4 linked regions of the Arabidopsis thaliana genome follow. The protein of the gene in region 1 interacts with the protein of each later gene in a pairwise test. Each region holds a gene or a part of one and is shown on either strand. Other genes may lie near its edges.

Evidence for each region.
Region 2: the proteins of AT2G21530 (region 1) and HTA13 interact in a two-hybrid assay, tested with the Arabidopsis thaliana proteins (one large-scale study listed by BioGRID).
Region 3: the proteins of AT2G21530 (region 1) and AT2G17600 interact in a two-hybrid assay, tested with the Arabidopsis thaliana proteins (one large-scale study listed by BioGRID).
Region 4: the proteins of AT2G21530 (region 1) and AT2G22760 interact in a two-hybrid assay, tested with the Arabidopsis thaliana proteins (one large-scale study listed by BioGRID).

The regions. Positions count from the first base shown.
Region 1 is NC_003071.7:9,214,605-9,222,739, forward strand, and holds AT2G21530 (SMAD/FHA domain-containing protein), read left to right. Parts: upstream 1-4,647; 5' UTR 4,648-4,767; coding exon 4,768-5,044; intron 5,045-5,139; coding exon 5,140-5,204; intron 5,205-5,289; coding exon 5,290-5,350; intron 5,351-5,542; coding exon 5,543-5,689; intron 5,690-5,780; coding exon 5,781-5,860; 3' UTR 5,861-6,004; downstream 6,005-8,135. Other genes in the region: AT2G21520 (Sec14p-like phosphatidylinositol transfer family protein), read left to right, coding at 1,352-1,385, 1,604-2,019, 2,094-2,360, 2,439-2,516, 2,594-2,695, 2,784-2,833, 2,934-3,033, 3,124-3,222 and 3 more; SFH3 (SEC14-like 3), read right to left, coding at 6,227-6,241, 6,342-6,413, 6,588-6,937, 7,139-7,250, 7,339-7,356, 7,435-7,524, 7,609-7,708, 7,794-7,843 and 2 more.
Region 2 is NC_003074.8:7,225,885-7,233,575, forward strand, and holds HTA13 (histone H2A 13), read left to right. Parts: upstream 1-3,505; 5' UTR 3,506-3,587; coding exon 3,588-3,776; intron 3,777-3,869; coding exon 3,870-4,079; 3' UTR 4,080-4,262; downstream 4,263-7,691. Other genes in the region: OCT4 (organic cation/carnitine transporter4), read right to left, coding at 1-555, 2,215-2,626; AT3G20680 (plant/protein (DUF1995)), read right to left, coding at 4,263-5,279; AT3G20690 (F-box and associated interaction domains-containing protein), read right to left, coding at 5,686-6,798; AT3G20700 (F-box associated ubiquitination effector family protein), read right to left, coding at 7,641-7,691.
Region 3 is NC_003071.7:7,651,258-7,659,909, reverse strand, and holds AT2G17600 (Cysteine/Histidine-rich C1 domain family protein), read left to right. Parts: upstream 1-3,690; coding exon 3,691-5,433; downstream 5,434-8,652. Other genes in the region: AT2G17590 (Cysteine/Histidine-rich C1 domain family protein), read left to right, coding at 6,755-8,652.
Region 4 is NC_003071.7:9,674,734-9,683,032, reverse strand, and holds AT2G22760 (basic helix-loop-helix (bHLH) DNA-binding superfamily protein), read right to left. Parts: upstream 5,190-8,299; 5' UTR 5,022-5,189; coding exon 4,581-5,021; intron 4,443-4,580; coding exon 4,065-4,442; coding exon of another isoform or gene 4,029-4,064; exon of another isoform or gene 3,937-4,028; coding exon 3,868-3,936; 3' UTR 3,531-3,867; downstream 1-3,530.

The sequences.
Region 1 (8,135 bases):
AATCTTGTTATCATCCTCCGCTATCCGCCACGTGTTGTATGGGTCCCACGGTACGGGCAATGAGAGAAACTACACTTTGCTCCCTATTTTAATTAATAATTCACATTTTGCTACACAACATCTTCTAATTGTCAAAACTCAAAACTAACAATCATGGTCATTTAAAACAAGCTATATACATTTTTCAAATCTGTATTTCAAAAAATCAAATAAAAATCATCTTAAGTCACTAACCTATGTGATTAATCAAAGTGGAGTAAAATTTTCCGAAATAACATTTGCAAAAAATTGTTGAAATCTAAATTGACAATAGTTATAATAAAATATCCAAAATTAAGTGGGGTCATATTGTAAAGAATATTTCATTTTCCACCTCCTGTTTTGACGTTTCTCTTCTTTTTTTTCCAACAAAAAAAACAAAAGCAATTAAATAGTGTTTGTCGTTTAGTTGGCGGAATTCTCTCAGTTGAATTTTGTTATAAAAATCTTACAGGTATACAGGTCTACTGTCCATAGATCCGTTAAAAGTTTTACCTACGGCCATTAATGACCGTCCGATCTTCCTTTGTTGATGATGACGAGGACCAACTATCTCTGCACTTTCTCGGTTTCTCCTTATTTAACTACTTTTAATATTACTCCAAATTCACACCCCATAATTATGCTTCTTTTTGCATATTTGATCAAAAACTAGTTCTAGTGACAGAATTAACCTCAATTTCCGTAAACCAAGTTTTAATATATATCAAATGCAATACTCGATATCACACATTATTCACTAAATGTGGGAGACTTTCATATTTTTTGTTTTGTCACACACTATAATATGAAGAATGAAAGTAACATGATATTTTTGTTCTAGGTGTAATTTAATTTCCAAAACATTAAAAATTCCTGACACAAAATACTGTACCACCGTCAATTTGGGGGGTAGATTGAAAGAAAATAAAGTGTGGGGCTCACAGATAAAAACGAATGTAACAGTTGGGGTCTCATTAAATAGCGGTGCAAATACAAACTTCTCTATAACAAAAATCTACTACTATTAAAAAATAATTAAATTCGAGAGGCAGTTTAGGTGAGAAGAAACTGAGAAAGTTCGGTCCGAATTCTAATCCCACTTTTGTCTCTCAATTTGTTTCCCCTTTCTCTCTCTCTCTCTCCTTCAAATTTTTTTAGCGATTTTTCTGGGTTTCATGTAAATGTGAGAAGTAGATAGATTCTCAACAAGAAAAAAAGGTTTTTTTTTTTTTTTTTTTTGGATTCGTGGATCAGCCATCTTCTCGAAAGATTTGGGAAAGATCCAAAGAATCACAATATTTTTTCGATATTTAGTCGAAAGGAATTTAACATGTCAGGTCCACTTGATCGATTTGCAAGACCATGTAAGAGATCTCAATCTTCTTTGTAATGTTCTTGCTTCTGGGTTAGCTTTTTTCTAGGTTTACTGTAGCTTAAACTTGGAATTGTGTCTAATATAATAATGAGAATCTAAAAATTGTGTCTCTTTGCTTTCTCGTGTCTTCAATATATGTTGTTGAGCTGGTTAAATAATGTGTATTGCTTTAGATAATTTTTAATGTGTCTCATCAAATCAAAACAGCTTTCACTACAGGTTTTGAGGGATTCTTGAGCAGTGATGAGAAAAAGGAAAGAAAGTCAGATTTTGAGAATTCAGAGGATGAGAGGAGAACAAGAATCGGTTCCTTGAAAAAGAAAGCCATTAATGCCTCTACTAAGTTCAAGCATTCTCTTAAGAAAAAGAGCGGAAGAAGAAAAAGTGATGGTCGAGTGAGTTCTGTATCCATTGAGGATGTGAGGGATGTCGAGGAGCTACAAGCTGTTGATGCGTTTCGACAGTCGTTGTTAATGGACGAGTTGCTTCCTGATAGACACGATGATTATCATATGATGTTGAGGTTCTTGAAAGCGAGGAAATTTGATGTTGAGAAAGCTAAACAAATGTGGGCTGATATGATTCAATGGAGGAAAGAGTTTGGTACTGACACTATTATTCAGGTATGCTATTAAATAGAAGATAGTAGTTTAAACCATTGTTGTCTGTTTTTGTAACGTTTTATTTCTCTCGTTAGGATTTTGATTTCGAAGAGATTAATGAAGTTTTGAAACATTACCCACAATGTTATCACGGTGTTGACAAAGAAGGTAGACCTATTTACATTGAAAGGCTAGGGAAAGTTGATCCTAACAGACTCATGCAAGTTACAAGCATGGATCGATATGTAAGATATCATGTAAAGGAGTTTGAGAGGAGCTTTATGATCAAGTTTCCTTCCTGCACTATTTCTGCAAAGAGGCATATTGATTCAAGTACAACTATTCTTGATGTTCAAGGAGTGGTAAGTATTTTCTACAGTTCATGATATTAGTTGTGAAATGAGTTTTTTTCTCATGTGTTTATATAACTTCATATTCAGGGATTGAAAAACTTTAACAAGTCTGCTCGAGATCTTATCACACGATTACAAAAGATTGATGGAGACAATTATCCTGAGGTATTAGTTAATTGGAGCTTCTAATACTTGATCTCAGGTATCAAATGCTAATCTTGGCTTTGTGGTATTTCATGCAGACTCTCCACCAAATGTTTATTATCAATGCAGGGCCTGGATTTAGGCTACTCTGGAACACTGTCAAGAGCTTTCTTGACCCTAAGACATCTGCTAAAATTCATGTATGAGAGATCTAAGTTATATCTCTATTTAAAAGTCTTGTCTTTGATTATATAGAATTCAATATGGACTATTCTATTGTTTATGTAGGTACTCGGATACAAGTATCTAAGCAAATTGCTTGAAGTCATTGATGTCAAGTATGTGAACCTTGACCCACCCTTATTTGATCTGTTCTATCGAAAGCTGCACGTTTTTTTGTTTTTGCTTATGTTCAAAATGGTCTGCACTTTTTTATAGCGAGTTGCCTGAGTTCTTGGGAGGTGCATGTACTTGCGCAGATCAAGGCGGTTGCATGCTTTCTGACAAGGGACCTTGGAAAAACCCGGAAATTGTGAAGGTCATTTACTTAGACTAATCTCTTTTTGGATTCTATTTGTATCATCCAAGTTGGAATCTGAGACATTTGGTTTTCTTCTCATTATTTCAGATGGTGCTTCATGGAGGAGCACATCGAGCGAGGCAGGTGGTGAAAGTGTTGAACAGCGAAGGGAAAGTCATTGCTTATGCAAAACCTTCATATACATGGGTACGTAGTTATTAAATCCTATAACTAGTCAATCTTTAACTTGTGGCTGACCATATTGTGCCTAAACTCTGCTCTGTCATAAACATAGATAAAGGGAAGTGACACATCCACTGCAGAGTCAGGATCTGACGCTGAAGATATCGGTTCTCCGAAGGCTATAAAGAGTTTCTCTCATCTCCGCTTGACACCTGTTCGTGAGGAGGTAACTTTTTTCTCTTTCTTTCTATCTTCTAGTTGGGGAAGTAGTAGATGTTTATCCTGAGGCTTTGCAGGCAAAGATAGCTGGTGAAACAAGCTTGGCTGGTAGTTTTCCGGGTTATGACGAGTATGTACCTATGGTGGACAAAGCCGTTGACGCCACCTGGAAGGTGAAACCCGCCATCCAGAGAGTTGCCTCAAGAGGTTAGTTAGTTAGCTGCTATATGCTTTACGTACCAGTAGGCTCCGGTTTAGAACCAAATACTGAAGGAAAAGAATTTAACCTAATCCTTGTTTACATAGGATTTATTTTCTTATTAGGATTGTTTTGGAGTTGGTTATAAAAACAGAGTTTTTTTGGTCTTTCTTTGTTTGGTGATCTTAACTCTTATCTGTTTCCTTCAGGAGCTTTAATGTCTCCCACCGTTCCAAAAGATCATGAAGGCATCAAGGCTCGAGTCCTAGTAATGTTCATGGCATTCTTGATGGCGGTTTTCACATTCTTCCGCACTGTAACAAAGAAACTTCCAGCGACTACTACTTCTTCCCCAGCAGAAACCCAAGGAAACGCAATAGAACTTGGTTCTAACGGTGAAGGAGTTAAAGAGGAGTGTCGTCCTCCTTCTCCTGTACCAGACCTCACGGAAACTGATCTACTAAACTGTGTGACGAAGAAACTGACAGAGCTGGAAGGTAAAATCGGAACGCTCCAATCAAAGCCAAATGAGATGCCATACGAGAAAGAAGAACTGTTAAACGCAGCCGTCTGCAGAGTAGACGCACTTGAAGCAGAGCTCATAGCTACTAAAAAGGCCCTTTACGAAGCTTTGATGAGACAGGAAGAGTTACTTGCTTACATTGATCGTCAAGAAGAAGCTCAGTTCCAGAAGATGAAGAAGAAGAAGAAGAAACATCTCTTTTGCTTCTGAAGCAAAGCCAAGAAAAACCAGCACCAGGCATCAAAATCTCCCTCTTTCGTAATTCGCTGTTCTTAAGTATAAACAACAAAACAAAACAAAAACTCTTATATCTGATTTGATGTTAAAGCTAATACAGAGAGCTCTGTTTCCTTCTGTGATTATGAGCCACTTTATATTATATGTTTTATTTTTATAATCATAAAAAAATCTGTAACTGTAAACTTGTTAATGCAAAACGAAAAAAGAGTATCGAAATTATTAATCAGGATTCTGTTTTTTTTTAGGATTTTGTTTTTATCCAGATACAAGATATTGTAGCCACATATCCCATATAGTGATTATCTCTTAACGTATCTCAAAAGTTTTTGCATTTTTCTTTACTTCATATTTTGTTTTTGTAAGATCAATCAGTTTTTATGAAGAGAAAATGGAGATAACAATATCCCAATTGTGCTCTCGAGTTAAGTTTTCATCATCATCATCATCATCATCACTTTTCTGTTTCTATGGAAACAGTAATAGAAACAACCTAAATGGAGCTGTTTCAGTAAACTGCTTGAGAGAGAATGAGCAGATCAGTAATATTAGCTTCATTGCGAAGAAACCAAGAAGTCATGCACCGGTGGTGAGAACAACACGCGCCTCCTTGGATGAGAATCAATCCCCAACTTCCGGAGGAGAACGGTGGCTTCTCAAACCAGTTGGTCAGAGGCTATTTTTTTGTTTCTCTAGGTTTAATATCAATGAGCTTCTTTAATCTTTTTGAGTCTTGAAAGTCTTTTTGCCTGAAAACTTATAGGCGATGGAGACACAAGACACATTGGTTACAAAGTGGCAATGCCTGCTCCTTTTGAGATCTCCTCTGTAAGAAACTATACATTCCACTAGATTGATTGATTTTGATGAGTTTTTAGTTTTTGCTAAGATCACAAAAATGGGTATTGAGCAGGGCCAAGTTACCATCGGACGGCTACCGGAAAAGGCTGACGTCGTGATTCCTGTTGCCACCGGTATTTCTCTGTTCTTGTGGTTTTCGGTTTTCTTGAATTTGTAATCAAAGTGAATTTGGTTTTAATATGAATCAATTTGATATAGTTTTGGTTTCGGGTTTAGGTTCGGATTCGGTACTAGATTTTCGATTGTAGATGGTTTATTGCTTTAGTTTGGATCAGAATCCAACACTCCTAGTCTTTTAACCTCAGTGTCAGGAGTCCATGCGACAATCAATACGAATGAAAAGAACCTTCTTGTGACGGATATGAACAGCACCAACGGTACATTCATCGAAGACAAACGTCTAATTCCTGGTGTTGCTGCTCCTGCCTTTCCCGGAACACGAATCACCTTTGGTACACCAATCTTTTCGCATGATTTTCCATCTCTCTCTCTGTGAATGTGATGGACCGATCAATGAGGTTAAACTCTTTGTGTGACTTGCAGGAGATACAAATCTAGCAATTTTCCGTGTTTTCAAGCTCCAAGATAGTGAAGAATCCATAGAGAAACCAACTACAGAGTAACACAAAACCCGAGAATTGCTTATCTTTGCTTGCAATTAACCGGTTTTTGTTGAAATTCTAAGTTGTTTTACAACATTGTTGATTTATATATATATGAACAATAGCTTTTTATATAATATTATAACATATATATTTTTGTTTTTGGTACGTTACAAATTAGGTGTGAAAGAATTGATAAGTGGTAAACATAAGCTTTCAGATATTTCCAGAGGGACAAACAACAAAACATTTACAGAAAGAAAATTTCCCACATTTTTATCTGTAAAAACTCTTCACGAATAATATTTATGTTTATATATATAATAAATATGGATTTATATATATTTTTCCAGGTTTCTTCAAAGTCTTGAGGCATTATCAAGTCTTTCAGAATCCAAAGAACTGAAAACAAAAACAAAAAAAACATATAAATACGTAAACAAAATCAAGTACGAATAAATCTTGAAAAAGAGTGTTTTAAAATGTGTTAGTTTGTTGTTACCTTCTTCTTCTTTTTCTTCTTGTCGATATAAGCCATTATCACATGCTGCGTTGCCATGGTTTCCTCCAGCGTCTGAATTTTCAACAAAATAAAATTGATTTATAACAGGATTATGAAAATGGTCTAAATTTTAGATCAAAAGAATTAAAATAGCTTTTAACTTTTATAAATGAACAAAATAGTCTAAATTCAAACTTCTAAACTCTAAAATAAGAAACTAGTTATGGAGGCTGTTTAACTTTGTACCTTTTTGGTCTGAGCCAACTGAAGCTCTAGCTCGTCGACACGGCTGAGAGCAGCGGTGAGAATCTGTTCTTTCTCTGGCGAGAACGCTGCAGGCTGATTGTCCAAAGACCTACATTTCTCCTCCAACTCGGCCATTCTCTTCACCATCGACATATACTCTTGGTTTGACACCATTGTAGTCTCTGCTTTGTCCACTTCACCACCGTAAATGGCAGCCTCAGTGAGCTTCCTTGGCATGTTCTTCGTTAGCCTCACCACAGTCATTAACCCCATCACCAAAGACATCACTCCCCCGAATAAATAACCTTCTCCTCCTCTCCTCTGCGATGGCTTCACGGCAGAGTATAAATCTGCGACGGCAAGAACACATTTAGGTAATAAGTGGTATTCTTGTTGAAGAGTGTAGCGGTATAGTATAATAGCAGAATCTCTTTTCAAAGACATGAAACTATGATGAATGTTTGGAATGGTAATAAAAAAAAGAATCATGTTTTCAAAACGTGAAAACACGAATAAATTTAGTGTAGTGTCAATGTTTCAATGTAGTGTACCTTCAGGTTCAGGATAGTTTGACTTGTGGAGATTTGTAGGCCATGTAGAAGCATTCACAGTTTTGTCAATCATCGGTATGAATTTTGTGTTCTCTGCATCGAATTTGTTCTTCTGCCAATAGGATTTTCAAAATCAGTCATACAGAGAAAGAGAGAGCTAAAGAAGTAACCTTTATTATTGACAAAAGAGAGAAACTCACCGCAAAGGAATCAGATTTCTTCAAGCAAAAATATGAGAATGTTAGATATTACTGTAAATTTTAAAGATCAAAGATATTTTTGTATTTTGCTTTTACCATTGTTGTGTTCTCGTCCACTGAGATTGTCTTCTCTTCAATGTTTGACAAAGTCTTCCTTGGGCACTTTCCTTCTCCGTTCTGAACCATCTGTATATAGTTCAAGATTCAGCTTCTCAGTTCATCGTTTCGTTAAACGGTTTTCGAAGATTCTCTACTTATCCTACAAATTACCTTGAAGATGTCAGGGTCGTTCCATGGACCTTTGTCAGAACGCATACATCCACCTTTGTCTGCACAAGTGCAGTTACCACCCAAGAACTCAGGAAGTTCACTAAACACAAATAAAGAACAGATAGTTTTCAGATTACGAATTTGCAGCTAAAATGCAGAGTTATGGAGCTCTGTTACTCTCTTACTTGGAGTCGATAATCTCAAGCAGCTTGCTTTGGTATTTGTTGCCAAGAACCTGTACATGAGGGACATGAGATTTCGGACAACCGTAGACCTTAAAGTTTGGATCTTTGAAGTGACACAAAACAGAAAAAAAGCTTACGTGAATCTTTGCGGTGGTCTTTGGGTCAAGGAAAGATTTCACAGTGCTCCACAGAAGCCTGAATCCACTACCAGCGTTGATAATGAACATACGGTTCAATGTCTATATGATCCATAAACACAAAAACAATTCTTAGTGCCATTTTAACTTGATAGAGATAATTACAAACTATTTCAAAACCATTAAGAAAACAACATAGTAACCT
Region 2 (7,691 bases), on another chromosome or scaffold:
GTATAACATCTTTCAGCGAACCCTCAACAGCGGTATTCCTCTCCCCGTTGTTATTTTCCACATCGTCGTCTAAAGCAAGAGTGACACCAGCTGGAATGTGACGTCCGTTCGTTTTAGCGATCGAATGCATCAGCTTCATCGCCTCATCTACTTTGCCTCTCACGAGATACCACCTTGGGGACTCGGATATGAATGGGATAACAATGAGTAGGAACAAGAGAGATGGTAACGATGACACTATAAAAAGCTCCCTCCACGATCTGAAAACGTAAGCGATGCCGGATAAAACTGCAATGCCCGCGGAGAAGAAGTAGAAAGTTGACATTCCGGCTACACCGCGTTTGCTCGGTCCAATGGGTTCAGTGGCTAAGACAAACGCGGTTAGGCCAACACCACCGGTGCTGAAACCAGTCAAGAAACGGAGAACTACATAGGTCCAGTAGTTTGGGGAGAAAGCTGTCGCGATACCAAAGATTGCGTTGATAATGCATACAACTGTTAGCGAGCCTTTTCTTCCTAGCTTAGAGTCCGATAAATGTCCGAATACTCCTGCACCTGCACATTATTGAGTCGGTACACTATCATTAGGCCATGTTTGTAAGTTGTAATTAGAAAATGTAATCAGAAAAAGGTATACAGTAGTTAAACTTTGGTTAAAGACTTATCAAAGATTTGGTAAGTTCATCGGGACCATAACGCATGTATGGTCTACATAAAGTTGTTTTTTGAGATATGTTGGACCAATGTTTCACAATCTTTTTTTGTTGACATGAAAACGATATCTTCAACCATGGAAGATGACGTCTTCATGCCAGTTACATGTAAAATTTTTGACTAGTATGCAACTCTAATTGGATATTCCTTCGTATATCCTATTCATTGTATAATGTGTATCAAATGTAGAGATTGGATAATCCAGAGCCAAACTGTCCTTTTTTATAAAGTAATCTAAACATTAGCCAAAATAAGGCAAACAACTGTTGGTTTTTCTATTATTTAGGTGGGTCATATTATAATGATCATTTTGTTTGTTTGTTTGTGCAATTATACATGTAGTTAAGATGTTTTTGGCCTCGTTTGTGTCAAATGTGAACGTGAATGTTGTTAGCATCATTCATTAATATCATCATATAAACGCTAACGAATACTGTGTTAACCAAGACCATAAGTAGATGTAAAAACAATTACGGGATGTCAAACATATTTCAAACTTTCATCAATAAGTATAGTTCAAATTTTTTTTTTAAAGTAATGAAATGATGTGGATGAACTTATGTTTTTACGACAAAAGAATCATGATTTAAGTCTGAAGCGTATAACCCAATGTTTATTTGCAGACAAGGCCAGAGGGGCAAGCCATGCCGCGAGAGATTTGTGTGTTTCGACTTTACAGATCAATGCAACGAATTAAGAAGGAATTTTATAACTTTAAACCAAAAAAGCGAACAAGATAATATATAATGTGATCAACTCGTTAGTCAGTCACACGTATATTATACATTTTTTTTGGGTCATTTTAGTAGTTTTGTTTTCTTTTTTTGGCACCAATCATACCTATCAAAGTCTATCTTTTCTTCTTCGCCAATCATTTTTTTTACGTGTGTAAACTTGGACCGCCTAATGGGTTAAAATTTTAAAGCATTATCATCCAAAATTTATAATATACTATAGAAATGAAAGGTATATCGGAAAAAAAGTGAGGTATATCTTTACTCTATAGTGTTATTTTCTAAAATTCGGATAATCATAAAAGATTCATGTGATCAAGGCACGTGGTACGAATATCCAGATTCAAGCCAACGTGCCCATTGATCTGCTCTTACTAATTTATTGGTGCGATCGATATACACTAGCTAAGTTATGCACACAACTAACAACTAATTTATTGTTTGTTGATATATTCATTAATTATCGGATAATCACGTAAAGAGCTAAATCCACTAAATTACAAGTTCATAATTTTAGAATGATTTTTTTTTTTGTCTTATCGAATTAGATAAGACACTCAGAAACTATACTAAACTCCTAATTATGTATTTATTTATTTTTCTTAAGAAGATAATCCAAGATTAGAGTTTAATCTTCTTTTTTTGACTGTAATTAGAAAAACTATTCGACGTGAAAAAAATCATTTTCACGCTACAGCTGTAATTTACTGTTTTTGTAATTTTCCTAAATCACAAAAAAAATATAGAAGGGAAAAAAAAAACTTACCGATCATGCAGCCGGCGAAGAAGAGAGCCTGAACAAGACCAACTTTATACTTGTCGCCGCAAATCAATCCCCACTCCGACACCGTGGAGCTCCCTTTACCCGCCGTCCATTCCCAAGAACTCGGATCCAACTCGCAGTTCAATGACCCGACCCGACAATCCGACCCGACGCATCTCCACTCGGGTTCTTGATCGGCAAATATCATCACCATCGTGTGGAACGCCTCTAAAGCCCAAGCAATACACGTCAACACGAAGTGTTTCAACTGCCACCTCCCAAACTCGCCGCAATATCTTTGTAACATCTCATCTATGCATAATCTCTCCTCTCCCTCCGCTTCTTTCTTCACCGGAATTTTCTCTAGCAGCGGTTGTCGGACATCGTTACCGTTTCTATCCTCCGGAGATTCCATAATTTATGTTTTGATTTTTACAGTGTTTTTGTTTTTGTGTTTGTGTTTTTGTTTAAAAGGCGTTCTTGATTTGGTTTGACGCGAAGAAGGAGGTGGCTTCTTTGTCGTATTTATATCTCTTGTTTATCGGAAAACAATTTTTCCTTCTTTTTTTCTCTAGCGTTTTTTATTCTCTTTTGATTTAGTAACTATTTTTTTTTGTTGACGATATTGACTACATGCTCTGCTTATATATATTTTAACTATGTCATGTTATTAACGTTTATGAGTTGTCACTTTGAAAATTAGTAAGACACATCATGTATTATTTCTCAAATTAGTATTGTACATTTCATTTCAAAGTCAAAAACACATGATTCTATATATGGTTGATTACCTAATGTGTAATCGTGAATTAGTAATTAATACGACATGCTAAAAATTGATTAATCATGTTTAGAAAAATATATACTATGATAAACCTGAAATTGTGTCACACAATTTTGATGAATGTATATACCACATTTCCATATTATACGTTTTAAAAGTAAGATTTTCATAAATTTTAAAATTATTCATAACATTCACTAAAATTAGATGTGTATAATTAACAAACTAAAAATATCATTAATCTACTATTTTAGTAGTTATTTTGCGAAAATATGTTTGAGTTACAAAATATTTTCACTATTTAAATCATGTCGATTATACCCACTGAAGGGTATTTCCGTCAATCCCAATTCTAACAATGAATTCAGGAGTATAAAAACGTAAATTCAAGCGTGCCAATTATAAACCGTCGATCATAATCTAATCCAACGGCAGTAACATCGATCCGCGTGATTGTTTATTATTGGATAAGAATCACTCAACCGTCTCTACACAGTATATATAATAACCAAAGAGCGTCCTCTTACGCTTATCTTAATTTCCCTCGCATTGAGAATTTTCAACTTTTTCTATCTCTCTTCCCAAATCACAAATGGCGGGTCGCGGCAAAACTCTCGGATCTGGCGTTGCTAAGAAATCAACATCGAGAAGCAGCAAAGCCGGTCTCCAATTCCCCGTTGGTCGTATCGCTCGTTTTCTAAAGAACGGCAAGTACGCAACACGTGTTGGTGCCGGAGCTCCGGTTTACTTAGCCGCCGTTCTCGAATACCTCGCCGCTGAGGTAATTATCCCCTTCTCTCCCTATATCTCTTTACTCTTTCGATCTTCAATTTCGTAAAACCCTAATTTCTAAATTGGATCTGTTGTGTTGTAGGTATTGGAATTGGCTGGAAACGCAGCTAGGGATAACAAGAAGACTAGGATTGTGCCACGTCACATTCAGCTCGCGGTGAGAAACGATGAGGAGCTGAGTAAACTGCTTGGAGATGTGACGATTGCTAATGGAGGTGTGATGCCTAACATTCACAGTCTTCTTCTTCCCAAGAAAGCTGGTGCTTCAAAACCTTCCGCTGATGAAGATTAGATTAGGGATTTGTGTTGTGGTTGTTTAGCTAATTAATGTGTAGCTTAGTCTTTCATTAGATTAGATCTGAATTAGTTTTCATTAATGGTGTTGTGTAGTCTCTCTTTTGCTTCAAAAACAAGTATTAAAATCTTATTATTTTGAATTGAATCCACAATCAATACACATTGAAGTCCTAACAAACTACTTCTTCCCAGTGATATTTGAAACCAAATCACTAAGAAACTTAGCTGATTTGGTAATAGGAGAATTCATAGCCATCAAGTTATACAGAACAAGCTCAACTTCTTCGATTGATGGTCGAGAATTGAATTGTGAAACAACTTTCAAAGTACCATTACCTTCTTCTTCTTCAACGAGAACATTCCATCTTTCTCCACTCACAACACCGTCTCTTACACACTTAAAGATCACTCCTTTTCTCTTACTAAACACTCCTCTCACTTCTAAGCCAGTGAACGCATAAATCACTTCAAAGGAACCAATAAAGCCATCTCCAAAGCTTTTCTCTTCTTCAAACAACCATCTCGGATTGATCATTACTACAGGTTTTGTAGAAAAAGCTTCACTCGCGGTCTTAACATCCTCCAGCTGCGATTTCTCCGGAGCCATGAAGATCGCCACGTCAGCAGATCTCAGAGCTGTTTTAAGAGAGTCTGAGACCGGAGACATGGCAATGTGGTGGATAGAGTCTGACCGGAAAGCTTTAACGGCGGGATCGATGAATGAAGGGTTAGGCCAGAGGAAGAGAAGCTTGACATTAGAGCCTCTTCTCGAGATGGGTAAGTCATGAAAGATCGAGAAAGCGAGCTGAGAGAGTGACGAAGGAGAATCATCGTCAAGGATTGGGATTTCAAGACGGAATCTTGGTTGTTTGAGCTTCCTGAGTTTTGGGGAAGCGAGTTTTGGGTTGTTTAAGGGTTTGATGAGACATGAAAGGAGACAAGTTTTGGCTTGATTAATGGCTTCTTCTTTGGAAAGGGGAGGAGAAGAAGAAGAAGGTGAAGGAAGAGAGGAACAGAGAGGAGCGAATAAACGAGTAGTGGTTGATTTGTGGTTGAGCTTTGAATGCTGTTGTGAGAGTGATTTGGAGAAATGAAGATGGAAAATTCTGGAATTGGGAGGAGATAACGAAGGAGGAGATGGGTTTAGAGCTTTGAATGTCTGTGAATTGAGTTTGAAGAGAGTCGAAGAAGCCATGGCTGATCTCTGATGATGAGGAAGAGAAGAGAAAGAGGATAAGGTTGTTCAAAACTTCAAATAAGAAATGAGACAAAACCGATCGAGTTACATAAACGAAAATTTGATTTCGGTTTGGGTCGGTTTATATAACCAAACCGAAAATAAAGTAAACAAAACAAAGGAATTGCTTAAACAAAAGTACCTTGCTCGTCACTTGTTGTCTCTCTGTTTTGTAATTTGATAACTTATAAATCTTCATTATATAATTGCATAAAGAGATGAGAAACAAATTAATATTAAAATAAGATGAAAGCAAGAAGACTAATTCATAGGTCTGGTTAACTTGATTTGAATAAAACTTGGAGCATAAGAACACATAGGACCTGGTGTGCATAGAGAGTCACCGAGACCCACTGTTTTGAGACTACTTCACAGAACTTGGTACATAAGAGCACACAAGACGGCAAAGTGGTTGATATAGAGGTTCACGGAGATCCGCTCTTCTGAAATAACCATTCTCTCCAACGATGTAAGCTATGTGGACAGTGGATTTGAGCCCCTCTGTCTCCTCTTTATTAAAAAACACTACGACTTTCTCTTCATCATAAATCAAGTATCCCTCAGTCAGAAAAAATCTTGGTGTGTTATCAACTTTTAAGAACTTGCTCCACGAGACTTCATCGGGCTCAATCTTGTTCGTAACCCAAATATCGATCTCAGATTTGCCACCCCGCCACCGCTTTACTAACACCGCAAGCTTCTCTTCTCTTACCACATATAGACTCCCCAAAAATTCATCGATGAAGGGTTGAGGTAGAGGCAGACGCGGTCCGAATCTCTCTCTAGTAAAATCAAAGCATATTAAATAACAATCTTCTGATCTTCTATCTTTAGCATACCAGTAAGTATTTCCCTTCAAAGACACGCCATCTTGCATAAACGCTATATCCCATTTAAGAGGGAAACTAGAAACCATCCGTGAATTAGACCTCAAATTGTAGATTTCAAGTCTATTAGGGTAACTATCGAAAACCCTTAAGATTTTGTGGCAACCACAAGATTTGTCGTATCCGAAAGCAAGTTTGTCAAAACTTGCAAAATTATTTATGCGTTTGACCCATTCACGTTTCCCCCAATACGGGTTACAAACCACAAGCCTAATACTATCATCAGTGATGCTTCCGTATAACAACAATAAACCGTTGCAGTGAAAGACATTGAATATTTCCTTGAATATTAGATCTAAATTTTCTAGGTGAAGAATACCTTTATTCTTTATAGATAGATCAATAATGTTGTTGTTGTTCTGAATACCATGGAGATTGACGCCAATTGAATAAACCTTACAATCTTTAATCATTATCAAATCTCTTTTCCCTGATGCGGTTACATTGCCGATGTGCTTATTTGCAAAGCTCCGATGTTTGGATAGAACGTTCCAGGTTTTGCAAGTAGATCGCATTGCTTTTAAAGATATCAACGGAAGCCTAGAGAGAATCTCCTCCACCAAATCATGTGGAAGATCGGACATCATCATCGTCGCTGTTTCAAATTTCGAACAAGGATTGATCTATTTGGCGCAGATGTTAGGTCAACTTTCATAAACTCTTTTCTTTCAGACTATCGATAGATTGTTATTGAAGACACATAAACCCTAGTATTTAATTGTCTGAAATACACAAAACTCTCAAACATCCTTGTTTATTGGGCCACTCTTATTTTTAGCCCATTGGACGTATTATCCTTCCGCTCACGTGGCACAAAAACGATTGAGTTATAAACAAAATTTTTGGTATCGGTTTGGGTCGGTTTACCCTAAACCCTGCTGTTAAATTCAAAGATTAAAAGTTTTTAAAGACCAATCCTTCTTAGTTCTTACCTTCGTTTGGTTTTGTCAAATTAGTTGATGTTATGTGAGTGAAGCAATGATGAGGAGCTGATTTGTTATCGTTTTGGTAATGATGTCACTTGTGTATAGCTGCAAAGTTAAGATCCATTGCGTTGCGTGTTCGCTTCTCTGTTTCACACTCTTGCTTATAGTTTGATCACACCATGAAGATCACTAGGTTTAACAGAATAACACTGAGAATTGTATTATACTGTAAAACTAAAGTCTGTGTTGTGTGTATATGTCAAGACTCATGAGCAATGTCTCCTGCTTGAATCAACTCTGTTTCTAAGCATTTTTTACAGTCTATAGGTTATTAAGCAATGAGTTAACAAAGGTAAATTAAGAACCATGTTGAGAATTCGATTGCAACCCAAAATAGTAAAAATATTAAATAACTTAATTCATTATCAGATTGGATAAAAGAGAATGAGAAAACAATTCAAAGAAGTTGAAAGCAAAACGAAAATGTAAAAAGGACTAAACCTGGTTTACTCGATTTGCACACAACTTGGAACATAACAAGACACAATACGGCAAAG
Region 3 (8,652 bases), 1.6 Mb from region 1:
TTTGACAAGATCGAATGGGGTTTTATTGAAGCGATAATGAAACAAATGGGGTTTTCAGAGAAGTGGTGTAATTGGATTATGACATGCATCACAACTACCACGTACTCTATTCTCATCAATGGGCAACCAGTGAGACGAATTATTCCAAAGCGAGGCATTAGACAAGGTGATCCTATTTCGCCTTATTTATATTTATTATGCACAGAGGGTCTATCAGCTTTAATTCAAGCATCTATTAAAGCAAAACAACTACATGGTTTTAAAGCTAGTAGAAATGGACCAGCAATCTCTCATTTACTTTTTGCACACGATTCTCTGGTGTTCTGCAAAGCTACTCTGGAAGAGTGTATGACCTTGGTTAATGTGCTTAAGCTTTACGAGAAAGCATCAGGTCAGGCAGTTAATTTCCAAAAATCTGCAATTCTGTTTGGTAAAGGTTTAGATTTCAGGACTAGTGAACAACTTAGTCAACTTCTGGGAATCTATAAAACAGAAGGTTTTGGCAGATATTTAGGTTTGCCTGAGTTTGTGGGAAGGAATAAAACAAATGCTTTCTCGTTTATAGCCCAAACAATGGACCAAAAAATGGATAATTGGTATAATAAGCTTCTTTCACCTGCAGGGAAGGAAGTGCTTATTAAATCAATTGTCACAGCCATTCCCACATACAGTATGTCATGTTTCTTGCTTCCCATGAGGCTTATTCATCAGATCACAAGTGCTATGCGATGGTTCTGGTGGTCCAATACAAAAGTCAAACATAAGATTCCGTGGGTAGCCTGGTCGAAACTCAATGACCCAAAAAAGATGGGAGGGTTAGCAATTCGAGATCTAAAAGATTTTAACATTGCTTTGTTAGCCAAACAGAGTTGGAGAATACTGCAACAACCATTCTCACTCATGGCAAGAGTTTTTAAAGCAAAGTATTTCCCAAAGGAGAGACTTCTGGATGCAAAAGCTACAAGTCAATCCAGCTATGCGTGGAAAAGCATCCTCCATGGTACAAAGCTGATCTCTCGTGGCCTAAAATATATTGCAGGGAATGGTAATAATATTCAGTTGTGGAAAGATAATTGGCTACCATTAAATCCTCCCCGTCCTCCTGTTGGTACATGTGACTCCATCTATTCTCAGTTGAAAGTAAGTGATTTGCTCATTGAAGGCAGATGGAATGAAGATCTTCTCTGCAAACTCATACACCAAAATGATATACCTCATATCCGTGCTATTCGACCTTCTATAACAGGAGCAAATGATGCAATTACATGGATATATACGCATGATGGAAACTACTCTGTCAAGTCAGGCTACCATCTACTACGTAAGCTCTCCCAGCAACAACATGCTTCCTTGCCCTCTCCAAATGAGGTTTCAGCTCAGACTGTATTTACAAATATATGGAAACAAAATGCCCCACCAAAAATAAAGCATTTTTGGTGGCGATCGGCTCATAACGCCTTACCCACTGCAGGAAACTTAAAGAGGAGAAGACTGATTACTGATGATACATGCCAACGGTGTGGTGAAGCCTCGGAGGACGTGAACCACCTTCTCTTCCAATGTAGAGTCAGCAAGGAAATTTGGGAGCAAGCACATATAAAACTCTGTCCAGGTGACTCCCTCATGTCGAACTCTTTTAATCAAAATTTGGAATCTATCCAGAAATTAAACCAATCCGCAAGAAAGGATGTAAGTTTATTCCCTTTCATTGGATGGCGAATCTGGAAAATGAGGAATGATTTAATTTTCAATAACAAGAGGTGGTCTATCCCGGACAGTATACAGAAGGCTCTTATTGATCAACAACAATGGAAAGAGAGTTTAAACTGCAATGAGCAACAACAGAGGAAACCTCAACTCCATGATAGTCACAATAATAAGTGTTACGGCGGCCATCTGAAGACTTTAAGAACACTATCGTAAAAGCAAATAAATATTGCTGTTTTGTGGATGCATCATGGATATCTCCTACTGATTGTGCAGGCATTGGATGGATCCTCTATGATAGGAAAGCTCAATTTGTTCTGCGAGGAATGTCGTCTATACCCCCAACCAGCACACCGCTTGAAGCAGAAGCTGAAGCCCTTAAACTAGCAATGATTCATCTACAGAGGCTTGGTTATGAAGACATTATCTTTCATGGTGATGTTGCAGCTCTGTTTCAGCCAATAACCAGAACCACACATTCGTGTGAGTATTCACCGATAGCAACATTTCTCCGGGACATCGAAAATATTGCCGCAGATACAAATCGATTGGTTTTTCAAAAATCCCACGTGTCCTTAATTTTAAAGCTGATCGATTAGCAAAAACAGCTAGAGTACAAAACTCTGTCTTTGTAATATCTTGGAACGCTGTTTGATGTATCTCTTTTCATAATATAATGAAAAGTTGACGACAAAAAAAAAAAAATATTATTTATTTCTTTTCACTTTATGAAATTCAGTAATTATATAATTAATTGATAAATATTATCTATTTTATAGATACATGACATATTACATATATTAGACAAAACATATGAATTTGTGAAGAAACTAACCGAAATGGTGAATGTGTGATTAATGGAGAGGGCAAAATTGTTTGTTTTTTTTTGTCTCAGCAAAAGTGGCAAATTTAAAATACCAAAATCAAAATGGCAATTCTACAAAGATTATTAAAAAAAAATGGCTTTCTCATAATTGATTCAAATAAATTTTATTGTTTGCTTTGTTCAAAAGAAATGGACTAAACTAGCTAAATTGGCCGTTCCTCGTTCAGATATAGTCCATCAGCTAGGCAAAGTAATATGGACGACAAGGATGAGCGATAACAACGGCCATCACATTTTATTGTTTGTTTCTGTGTTACTAATGACGAGCTTTAATAATTAAAAGTAATGCTTCTCCTGTTGTAATTTATTTGTACTCTAAAGGTTTTGAGCACAGATTAAATCATCAAAATCTCATTTAGTTTATTTGTTTACATAAAACATCATTAATTACAACTAATTCAACCAATTAAAAAACCATATTGTAAAATAAAATTGGTCAAAAATTATTAAATACATTTAATTTTTGCATAGAAGATAATTTGTTGTTGTTTTTTGCAACAAAGGTTTTTTGGTTAAACTACAAATAATTAAAACAAAGGGAGTATTTATTTTGTTGTTGTTTGTGAAGTGATATATTTATATTAACGACTTTTCACCAAATCAGCTAGGATGAAACAAATATGAATTCTTTGTTGAAATTTCTATGAAATAATATATGATCAACTAATACATAACAAACATAAATTTTGTAAGCCCAGCCCACTCTATTAAAAGTCAATGGTAAGTGAAGGGGGCCAAACCACCCTACCCTGGCCTTGCTCACACCCTGTAACTCTTACGTATCTACGTATTCTTCTTTTAATTAATAAACAGTGGAATTAATTAATTTTGTTGGCCAAAAGAAATTCTTGTTAATTCGTTGTCACAGATGATATCAGTCTGGAGAGACAGATCATGTAATGAAGTTGTATTAAATTTAATCTCGTGTCATTTTTAATAGTATAATTTGCACTTCACATAATTTGTATATTGGGTCTACATTATTTAGTCGTAATCATATAAGTTGTGTCCACATTAGTCAAGTCATCTCCACACGATGGAAGTAATCATATTTTAGATAAACAGATTGGATCCTAACCAAAACTTTGAAAAAGAAAATGGCTGCTAATGAAGAAGAGCCAATATGTCGTTTGTCTCATCCAACTCACTCTCACACCCTCTCCCGTAGAGCCGGAAGAATCCCTCCATCGGGTTGCTTCGCATGCGACAAAGAAGAACCCTCACCATGTTCTACCTTCCATTACTCCTGCACCACTTGTGATGTGGAGTTCCACGATATTTGTCACGTGTATCCGAGGAAGCTCACACACCCTTATCACCTTCAACATCCTCTCACCCTCACCACTCAAAACACTGAAATAGAGATCATATCTAAAAACCCCGAATATGGTTACATATTCAAAAATTGTAATTGGTGTGGAGATGATTTGAGAGATGGATCTCAATTCTATCATTGTTCTATTTGTAACTTTTGTTTAGATCTCTCTTGCTCCCAAAACTTTCCAACTCTTACAATTACAAATCCAAAAAGCCACCATCATTCCCTCTTTTTATTTCCTTGGCCCCTCTTAATTCCATGTGAAGCTTGTGAGCTGGTTAGTTTGTTGGAACCAAGTTATACTTGTTTCCAATGCAACTATTTGGTTCATGAGAGTTGTATCAACTTACCGCGTGTCATAAAAATAACGCGTCACCCACATCGTCTCTCTCACACTCCTTTCCTTCCACCTACAACTCCATCTTGTCGAGTTTGCTACAAGACAGTCGACATCAAATATGGCCAGTATTCTTGCGATCATGAAGGTTGCTCTTATGTTGCCCATTCCAAATGTGCAACACATATGCACGTTTGGGACGGAAGAGAACTCGAATGGGAACCAGAAGAACTCGATGAAACTGAAGATATTGTGCCATTTAAGAAAGTGGGTGATAATATGATCAAGTATTTTTGTCATGAACATCACCTTAAGCTTGAGAAGTATGATAGTGTCCGAGACGCAAAGAAACAATGTCAAGCGTGCATCCTTCGTATCGACTCTTATGATTTCTACAACTGTGTGCAATGTGACTTCTTTCTTCACGAGGTATGTGCTGGTCTTCCTCGAAAATTGGCTCATGCATTGCATAAGCATCCTCTTGTTCTAGACCCTTCTCCTATACTCGATTACAGTTCCACAAGTTGTTCAACTTGCGCCCGTGAGTCCACTGGTTTCAGGTACAAATGTTCAAAAACTGATTGCGATGATGAGATAACAATTCAGATAGATTTTCGATGCATTTTAGTTCCTGATTGTTTCACCCACAAAAGTCATGAACATCCTTTATTCATCTCCACATCATATTCTAGAAAAGGAAACATTTCTTGTGATGGTTGCAAAGATAGTGTTCGTGATGAGTATTATCTGCAATGTACTATTTGCTCATTTGCTATGTGTTATCGATGTGCGACCATTCCATATGAGTTATACTACAAATATGATGCACATCTTCTGTCGCTTTGCTATGGAGAAGATGCAGAGAAAGCATATTGGTGTGAAGTATGCGAGAAAGAATTGAATCCAAGAGAATGGTTCTACTCATGCAACAAATGTTGTATCACTATCCACCTTGAGTGTATATTCGGATCTTCCGTTTATATTAAGTCAGGTTACACATTCTATTTCGGCTCTGCATCGATGAAAATTCTTGGGAACAATAGTCATACTCGACCGATTTGTTATAAGTGTGATCATCGTTGCCCGGATTCGGTGTACTACAAGTTGTTTGAGAAGGTTTTTTGTTCCTGGCTTTGTGTTTGGACATCTGACATTGAAAGTTTTGACAATGTCGAAAAGGAATAAGCCTTATATAGTTTTTGGGACCGTGAAGAGTTCTTTTGTAATAGATTCAACATTTATTATCTAAGTGTTTGAGTTTACATAAGGCAACAATGTAACCTAAGTTAATAAAGCCGAAAATTTTGGTTAGTGTTAAATGGACCATGAATATTACAAACTTAATACTGTAAGTAGGAATATTACTTCGTGTCTTTCATCTCAAATATATTATTATTTTTCCTTTTGGATGGCTTCGACTTTTCAGACATGGTCCGCTCCATATGTACGGTCCAGCAGAAAAAAATCAATTCATGCACAATTACATAAACTAAAATAGCCTAGCCGAAATCTTGACAAAAAAAAAAAGATAGCCTAGCCGAAACATAAACAAGAAACAAAGCCCAAAGTCTACATAGAGCCGAATGGTATAAAATTATTGGGTGACATATGATGCGTTGGATTATTTACGTATTGAAACTAAATAATCAAAAAACACTAATAATAAACTCAGGTTAATTGCTGTCATATAGGTTATCATAGTCTCTCAAGACATGTTTGGGAAAGACAGCCACAACTTTTATAAATTCACGATTACATTTCGGATCCAATTTTAAATTAATAATATAACTATATGGACAGACCGGAGACATGTCACGAGGAAAAATCCGTTCTATTTTTCTTTGTCACAAATTGCTTATAAAATTAATCATCTAACACTCTATATTAATGACACGTGTACTTATCATTGATTATAATTCTACTTAAATTAATTATCAATATATATATCGTATATTTAGAAAAATAGTCATTTAAACTTTACAAATTACTACATATTAAACTATAATCTTTAAAATATTTATAAAAAAAACATAAAAGTTGGTAGAATTTACATAACTTCTACATTTAAATTCATTATTACAATAATTTAATACATAAACAATTATAAAATATATTTATACTTTAAACATAATACCAGTAAAATTATTTATTTAAAGTAAGAAGGCCAGCACAATATTACAAAACTATAAAAGTCAATGAGTAAATCGAAACTTATTATATATAATTGATAGTAGCTCCCCTCTACAATTCCAAAATAAGCAAAGACATATTTTATTTTAAAGTAGATCGAAACAGCCTGTAGCCATTTCGTCTTAATGTACTGTTGTATTGTATTGTGGATCATTGTTCGTATGAAATTATGTGCTAGTTAATTTTTGTTGACACATATATATATATATATATATATATATATATATATATATATAGACACTCGTATTTGATCTTGATCATAACAATAAAAAGAAGACAATACTAGAGAAAGAAAAAGAGATCTAAAGAGTAAAAAATGTCTTATGGCCAAGAAGAGACGATATCTTATGGCGGAGAGGAAGAGCTATTAATATCTAGCAAAGTATCTGGTCAAGAAGAAGAAATATGTCGTTTGTCTCATCCATCTCATCCTCACACCCTCTCCCGTCGATATGGTGAACACCCTCCGTCTGGTTGTTTTGCAAGCTCAGACTCCACATTCATAAGGCATTCTCTTTATTTCTATTTTTTCTGTACCACATGTGATCTAGAGTTCGATCAGTATTGCTACTTGCGGCCAAGGAAGATGACACACCCTTATCACCCACAACATCCTCTCATTTTCAGTGTTCAAGACCGTCAAACCGGCATCATACATGATTCCGATATACATTCCTACGACGTATCATCAATAATACCTGAGGATAGTTCTATTCTTGGTAACTGCAATTGGTGTGGAAATGATTTAAGAAGTTTTGACTTTTTCTATCGATGTTCTATCTGTAACTTTTCTTTGGATTCTAGTTGTTCCCAAAGCTTTCCACTTCCTACCATCTCAAATCCAAAAAGCCATCACCATTCACTAATTTTCCTTCCTCGACCTCTTTTGTTTCCATGTGATGCTTGTGGGTTGGTAGAGCAATGGAGACCAAGTTATGCTTGTTTTCAATGTAATTACGTGGTCCACAAGGATTGTATAGACTTACCACGCGTCATAAAAATCACCCGTCACCCTCATCGTCTTTTTTACACTCCTTTTCTTTCACCCTCAACTTCATCGTTGTGTCGTCTTTGCTACGAGACAGTTGATATCAACTATGGCCAGTATACGTGCAATCATGATGATTGCTCTTTTGTAGTCCATTCCAAGTGTGCAACACATAAAAATGTATGGGATGGGAGAGAACTCGAATGGGAACCTGAAGAGTTTGACGAAACCGAAGATGTTGCACCATTCAAAAAAGTTGGTGATGATTTGATTAAGTACTTTTGTCATGATCATCATCTGAAGCTTGAGAAGTATGACCGTGTTCGAGACATGGATAAGCAATGTCAAGCGTGTGTCCTTCATGTCGACTCTCGCCATTTCTACAACTGCTTTCAATGTGATTATGTTCTCCATGAGGTATGTGCCAATCTTCCTCGGAAACTAGATCATGGATTGCATAATCACCCTCTTTTCCTAGACCCGGTTCCACTAAACGCATGGGATTCCTCAAATTGTTCAGTTTGCGAGCGAGTGACCGTTGGTTTTGTGTACAAGTGCTCCAAAAAGAGATGTACGCGTATTTACCAGCAAAAAAGGTTCCAGGTAGATGTTAGATGCATCTTAGTTCCTGATTGTTTCACCCACAAAAGTCATGAACATCCCTTATTCCTCCCTATCCATAACTATGATACGAGACTATGTAATGGTTGCAATCACACAGGCTCAACCTCGTCATACTATCTACAGTGTACTCTATGCAAAGTTTTTCTATGTTATGAGTGTGCCACCATTCCAGATAAGCTACACAACAAATATGATGCAGTTCCTTTCTCCCTTTGTTACGGAGAAGTCTCAGATCAAACATACTGGTGTGAAGTCTGCGAGGGGATACTAGATCCAAGGGAATGGTTCTACACATGCAGCAAACCTTACATCACTATCCACCGCAGTTGTGTATTTGGGTGGTCCGCTTATATGATGCCAGGCTACACGTTGCTTTTCGGAAACTTGAGTATAAAAGTTATTTGCAACAGTAGTAACACTCGACTGATGTGCCACAACTGTGACAACCGCTGCTCGAGTACTGTATATTTAAAGTTGTCTAATGGGATAGCTATTTGTTCTTATCAGTGTCTTCGAGATTTTAATTCTAAACTCGATCGTAGCCCCAGAGCGCGATATAATGTTGAACTAGTAAACTGGTACTTAGCTGCATTAGCAGATTG
Region 4 (8,299 bases), 460 kb from region 1:
TAACACAAACACTAAAAATGATTTTTAGGGGTTTAAAATTTAAAATTTTGGGTTTGAATTTAGTATTTTGGGATTAGGGTTTAATTTTAAAGGTTATTTTTCAGGATTTAGGATTTAATTCTGAAAATTTTATATTTAGTTTTAGTTTTGTGGTATTTAGGAAAAAATCTTTTAGTAGTATTTTTGAAAAAAATAATCAAAAATACTAAATGGTATTTTCCGAACAAAATCATTTTAGTGGTCTTTTTTAGAATTGCCTTTTAATCTATGTTTTCCACGTCCTCATAACCTACCAATCAAAGCCATAATATTATATCGAAGAAGTTTTTCTACGTAAAGTGAGTTTACAATATAGATTTTGCTGTTAATTTCCTTTTTTTTTAATAATTAAAATACAATAAATACCATAATAATCACTCTTTGTGAAGTTGTCTCTGGAACCATTTTCCTATCCTCGTGAATCATGTGTGATTAATTGTTTTGCCTCATTATTGCATTAATATTATTATTAATAGTATTTTTTAGGTCAATGCATTCTTATTATAATATACCGATTGTTCTTATATATAGCAAAGAGATCAAAACTAATTCTAGGACCTGGGATCGATTAACCCAATAATAAATATTTTTTATAGCGACAACATATGTGATATAGTGGTTTGTTTAAATATCATCCATGTGTCATGCCATTCGTAATTAAATTTACAATATGCATTGCCAAAAAACAAAACAAAAAACACATTTGTTGTGAATGTAATCATTTTCCATACAACTTACATCCATATATGAAGGGATAATAATTGTTTTGATAATTTTGGTTACGGGCTCAATGAAGTCTTGATGTCTTTTTTTCTGTTTTTTTTTTCTTTTTGTCTTGATGTCTTTATTCACATCATTAATTGGTGAATTGAAAAAAATGTGGTTCAGTGTACCTCAAGCATACAATGTTACTATACATAACAAATATTTATCACCAACAGTGTTTATGTGGATAATAAATAATTTTTTCCCATATTGCAATGCTTTTTTTTTTTTTGTGTAAGCACCATATTGCAATGCATATTAAGATGAACAGAGAGAGTATTAGTTATACGTCTTGATTAATTATAATTCAAAAAAGAAATAACAATTTGAGATCTGTACGAATATACAAACAGGCAAACACCAGATTAATTAGTAGTACTCGTACATGTCATTACTTTACTCTTTATCTGAATTATTTAATACAAATAATTTAAATGGTTCGTGAATAATATATAACAAAATTGAGTAAAAATGATTTCATGATATATCCACCTTTAAGATGCTATTCTTTCTGGAAAAGATTGAGATCCATTTTATTAAAGCCTTTATAGTTTATATCAGTTAATGATCTCCACCCTCCATGTTACTCCTTACAAATTTTATTTATTGTTATTGTCTACATATTAATTGCGGAGATTTATGATGATAAACAAATATCGAATGAACCTTCTCACTACAAGGATCGTTTGAATAATTTAATGGAGTACATAAACTCCACATTATCAAAGAAAGATTTTCAGTTCACTCTTAATTTGTTTCCAACAAAAACTTTTGGGTATTTTTGAAACTCGTCAGATTGAACATGATTTGTAGATTGTAATCTAAGTTGTGGTTATGCTAGTATTATACCACGCTATCACCATCTGGACTTTTTTTTTTGTTTATAATTTATGTTGTTAAAAAACTGAACCTTCAAATAATTTTTCTATATACATGAAAAAAACAAAAATCATCTCCACAAGTTTAAAACTGTGGTTATGGTTTTATGAATGTTCGTTAGTAAATATTTCTAATAAGGAAAATCCGAATTTCTAATTTTTTTTTTGTATTATGGATGTTCGTTATCAATTCTGGAAAAAAATTTATACCTAACAATTGATTAAGACTACTCTCTCAAGTCTTAACGCTTTTAAAATGTATTTCGACAAAAAAAAAAAAACGCTTTTAAAATGTAGATGAATGGTTACAAATGCATTTACTTACATAATGCAATGTTTGAACGACGATTGATTAATTCCTTAAGTTATCAATAACAATGATATTTAAAGGTGATGTTGACTACGTAATAGAGCAAACACGTGATTTCTCATGTATACATATGGCCACGCTTTTGATAAACTTTCAACTGCAGTGGTTAGAGACTTTAGAGTTAAATCGTCCCGAGAGTGTTTTTTTCATTAAATATAACAATTTTGATTACAAACTAGTGTCCCGTGAAATTGACTTCTTCTTTTCCCACCGAATTTAGTTTTTTCATCTGCATGCTCTGAATGATACTATAATAGCAAATTAGACAATATAATTAAGGTGAATCAGGGAAAACTATCATTAATCAAGCATATTATGGCACACATGCTCTTGTGGTTATGTCAAAACCTCTACGATTATTCACTAATCAAAATCCAAGACAATGGAAGCTGAAGTAACATGTTCGTGTCGATATTCAAAGAGATGGAAACCATAAAATATATAGTAATTAATTATTGTGAGGTATTCACAGTGGTTGACTATCCTTTAACTTTTTTGTTTGTGGCAAAAGACAAGTTGTTGACGGAAGGAAAAAAAAACTTTTAACGGATTGAATTGATCACGTGATATATAGTACATGTGATTCATGTGATCACTCCTTTCTCGATATGAAGGGAGTTTTTAAATTCGAAACTTATTAAGAGAAGTAATTAGGCAAAACATTTTGGTATATGAGCCATTTAAAAGCGTTATTAACAGAGATAAGACATGTGTCAATCCGAAGATCACAAAGTTAAATGTTATCAAGCTATAGCTGACCCTTGATCGTGTGACTATTTATATCGGAAATCAAGAAATAAGAAAGAAATTTTAATAAGCTTAATTTATTGTAATTTTATTCTTAATCGATGCGCTGAATTATTATTTTTATTAAAAATCTTTATCTTAACTTTATAATTGATTAGTATCCCAGATTTGGGGTGAGTATAAACGTATCCAAGAAATGATTTTGTTAGGTGGTACTCAAAGGTTTTGAATTGGCTTTTAATCGTACCGCGTCGTGCGGCAATTATTATTTGGTCACGTCCCTCCGATACTGCCCTTGCCCTATGACTTCTAAATAGTTATTGGTAAATAGTAATAAATTTGGTTGAATTTAGCGTCATTTTTTTTTGAGCAAATGTAGCTTTTTTTTTTGTCGAAAGCAAATGTAGCTAAGTTGTTGAATTTGCTAACTACTGAAACTTTCAAAATAAATTACGAAAACTATAATTGTATATCTTTATTGGGGCAAAACTATAGATAATTAAGTTAATTCTTTTAATCCATTTTCATGCCCTACTATTTTTTCGTAAATATTTCAGAATTTTGTAACATTGACCTTCGATGTAATTTTGCTTTCTACAATATCTTTTTAATGTCAAGCAATCTTCTTTTCCTTTTTTTTTTTTTTTTTGATTGGTTAAAAGGTTTGCTTTCTACAATATGTTTCTTGTTGACATGAATGTGAATTTCATTAAGAATTGAAGAGGGTTTGTCAATAATTACAAAATACTTTAACAAGTCAGAAGGCATTACGACCATGCTAAGGATAAGGCCACATTTGTTTTTTTTTTTTGGACAGCGGATAAGGCCACATTTATTTCTGCCACTTAATAAAAAAACAATTCTGTTATATTTTAAATTCATTATTAACAAACAAAAAATGTTACATCTAAATTAATTCTCAACGGTCGTTATCGGAAATAGCTTTGCTAAAAAAACACATCAAACATGTGGGCACGTGTGAAAAAATCTCAAGAAGAAAACGATAGCAAATCCACGAAACGATTGTGTCAATGTACAGTCTCAGGTTACTAAAACTTGAAAGAAGACCTAAACCATTGCGAGTCTCAGGTTCCGTACAAGATCCTTAAGTATACTCATCGAAAAATCTTTATCCATCTGCCACACAAAAAGTTAAGAAAGCATAATTGTAGATTATCAGTTTCATTAATACATCAATATTATATTGGATGAACTACGAGTTATCCATTTTAGTATTGCATATATATATAGTTATTAATGATCACCTGTGCAAGGACTGTGATGTCGAGAGTCGAGTCTCCGAATGGCAATACGATGCTATTTTCAATGCGCAATTGAAAGTTTTCAATTGTGTTTAGTATGTTGATCATGCACCCTTTGCTTTTCTCGCAAAGGATTCGGATGAGAATGTCATTTTGAGAAATTTTCGCTTCGATTTCTGGTAATGCTTGATCGAATTCAATATGAACTGAAGGAGAACATGATAGGTTAGGTTCCTCGTCGAAAAACACTTTAGATTTCTTTACAAGAATCATGGATTCCATTTGTCTCGTTGCTTCTTTTTCTTCCTTGAGCGTTCTTAGTTGTTCTTGGAGTTGTTTCATACGCGAGATCGCGTCATCAAGAATCGTTACCTTGTCCGCCTAAAAAACCACAAGATAGTTTTGTATTCTCAAAACCAATTGACACTGATGAATTATTATTTTTTCTTCACTATGAAAATATCTATAGTTAAATATATAACAAATTTATCGATAATTTACAATTTAAATTTGCAATACCTTCTTAAGCCCGGGAAGGAGAGCTGAAAGAGCAATGAATTTTTCAGAAAGCTTCTCACGGCGCTTTCTCTCGGCTAAAACATGTTCTTTCGCAAGAACCGGAGATCTTGTGCCATGAGAACATGTTTTTCTTTTGGTTCCACGACCAACCAATTTATCCATAATGATCTCCTCCGCGGCTGGAGAAGAAATAACATTACTAGAGAAATCAAAAGAAATCAGTTGTTGCTTGTTGTTGATCTTCATCATAGGCTTCACCGCTGCCTTTGGCTTCTCTCTGAGGCACTCAAAATGCATTTGATGATCAAACTTTGACGATTGATCAGCTCTTCGTGAATTTGATAAAGATTCATCAGGTGATAAATTATTTTCTTCGTAAATATTAAAGTCGAAATCAATGTCTACTAGTGAGAAATCGGGTAAGAAAAAATCTTCATCCATACCCGAATATGAAGTAATAATCGATAAAGAAATGTCAAATAGTTTCCTGATTAAGACAAAGATAAATCGAGAGACGTCTTTATTGTTTTGTCGTAAAGGGTTTATGAATAGAAAGTGTTTTCAGGTATTCTTACTATATATTCGACAACGAGACGCGGCTTAAATTATTTTCTCCACTCCATAATTATGTTGACCAGATTGTGTATATAATGCATAAAACGTGACGTATATGTATAAACTAAACATATTATGATCGAAACTAGAAGTCTTCTCATTATTGTCTATAATGATCGTATAATTTGTTGGCTTCTAGTGGTCTGAGATTCATATACGTGTTATGAATTTGAAAAAAAAAAAACTACGTGTTATGGACCCAAAAAAAAAAAGTAAGAGAAGAGAGACGTGTAAATAAAATAAGCACGTGTTTTTGGTGTTGAGCTTATTCCCACTCGGAAACAACAAGGATATAGAAAAACTCTGTAAAGCCTCGTCCCCGTCTTCCCGTCCATCTAACAACCTCATTACTTTTTATAAAGGAAAATATACAAAAGTTATACTTTATTATCTTTTATTTATTATTTTAATTGTAATTTTATCCAAAAAAAAATCATATGAAATGTTAAGTTTTATACCGTTTGCAAATTTTTCATCCAGAAAATTACATTGTTAAATTGAAAGAGAAAAAAAACAAAATTTACTTACGAAACAAAAAATTACAACAATTTTTTAATGAGTTTGAAAATTCATGAACATATCTCGACTCGTTATACTGCAATAAATTAGATTAATGGTGGATATGATATCGAGGGATATGTTGCAGAAGAAGTTATGATACCATGTGGATGTCGACATCTATACATTTATAAACAAGTTGTGTTTGATAATTAATCGATCATACTGTTTTGTCTTTAAACTCAATTTGATTCCGATAAGGCGATAACGACCCCAGACATAATAAATGTCCCTACTCCCTACCAAACGGGTTATTTAGTCTTAACTGCACTAATAAGAGGCCAGACCAGGTTGGTATGATGACGAATTCACATATACATCCACTATCCAGCCCAAAAATGCAATGGTTCTGGGCCATGGCCATTTAAAAACAAACATTTCATATGAAGGATTTATGTAAGAAAATTAAAAAGTTAATATGCCTACAATATAAGATCCAAAATTAAGGCTTCCAATTAGTCTGGGTCGGTTTAATTCACTAGTTCTCTGATGAAACGATTATGTACTGATTCGACTAATTCAATGTAATGACTAAACAAAAAAAAAATAAAAATGTAATGACTAAAAAACTGGATAATGAATTAATATGAGCAAAAAAAGAATTAATATGACAAACATATTTTTAACTAAATTATAAATATCAAAATTAGAAATTGTTCAATTGGTACTGATAGTTTTTTTTAAACAGTACCAAAAATATTAAAATTATAAATTGCCTTTGTCTCTAGTAATATTGGACCTAATTGTTTCTTCTTCACAAGCAATTTTATTAAAAAGGTGGACTAGCTTTAATTTGCTCATCATCCCTTCGACAAAAACCCAAAAATTGAAATGGTCTCGGCATTCGCAATTTGAGTTTGAATATATTTTTCCGTAAGCAGATCAGGAACTTGCTCTCCAACGCAAATTCGGAACGTTAGGAATCCTAAGTCTAACTTAGGATAAACGCCAATGTATGCGGCATGGAATTGGTAAGCTCTTGGAATATTCTTTCCGTAGTAATGCGTACTACAATTATATGTGTGTACATGTCTATCGTCACGATATATTTGATAATAAAGATTTGGTACGTATCTCTTGAAATGAAGTCACAACAGTGCCTTTTAAAAAGGTCAGTAGAATTATAAAATGGAGATTTTGTTAGAAAATTTTGGATACGAAATCTGGATAACATATAATATTTTTTTATTTATGATATAAAGTGAGACAAATGTGTATCCATGCCATGGTCCTTCCGGTTGGTGGTGCGGTGGGGACGGGATATGCCGCCGAAATATCATAAATCCAGCTGACGACCAATCTTTTACTCACACACTCTCTTTTCCTTTTTCTTTTTTATATATCATATTATTACATTAACACACTATTTCGTCAATGAGTTTGGATAGGACCAATCATTTTCATTTTATTATTGTCGTCCTAATCAAACTCACTGTTAAGGGGCCTTCCAATTTTGTCTTTTTCCTTCGTCCATAATTCTAATAGTTGGGAACTAACCATTTATATTATTCTATTTTATATACAAAAAAAATAGATTTTAGGTATGAAAATTGTTAGTGTTATTGGTTAGCCACTGGATCCGTAATTATTTGAATTCTTCATATAATATCAAAAACAAAAATGAGTTATTATAATTATAGACTACGTACTAATTTTTTTAGTTTATCATATGTTGAATTTCTTCAAAGCGAGAAGAGAGAAGACAACAAAACAAAATTCTTATAAGCGAGCTCCTACTATAATTTAATAAGATATTTTCCATCAAAACCCAAAACCAAGTTAGATAAAAAAATTCTAACAAATGTAAATTATATATAGTATAAGCGTTATTTCTTATCTAATACCCCTACTAGTTTCAGAAATATACCAGTAGCCTTTCTCTTCCCATCATTAAGGACAATTATGGTCCAGAAACAAAATATCATGTAATTAAGATTGCTGTTAGCCTGTTAGGTACTTAAGTTTATGTGACCTTCTAGGCATTTTGGTTGGACTTTTTGGACCTGACGAAGACAAAACAAAACTCCAAAGAACACTTTTGGTTTTCACATTTGTTTGACCTCCGTGAAACGAGTTTCCAATAGAATAAGGAAAATGCCACGTTTTTAATTCAATTAAATAACTCATGGCTCATGCATTGCTTTGGTCGCCTGTTTTTAAGGAATTTCCACTATAACTATAACTTTTGCTTTTTACTTTTTTCCGTAAGATGTGAACTAAATCATGGGGAGTGGAAATTAGTTTAATTACTTATAAAATTGAGGTCTACTCCCACGTTTTCAATTCAATTAAATATTTTTTGTTTTTGTTTTTGTTTTACGATTATAGTTTTTTCTTTGGATTCAATTGCTATAGTTTCTAGAAAGCTATATATGTATATGTACATTCTGATAATGTGTGAATTTTCTCATACATAAAACTAAAAAATTTCAATAGATTAATATACGTATAGAATCTCAAACACTCCTTCATGCTTTGGTAAAAGTTGTCTGCTTTATGACTTTTTTCTTAAATCTAGCCAACTGAAGGTTTCTAATTTCGGTCCT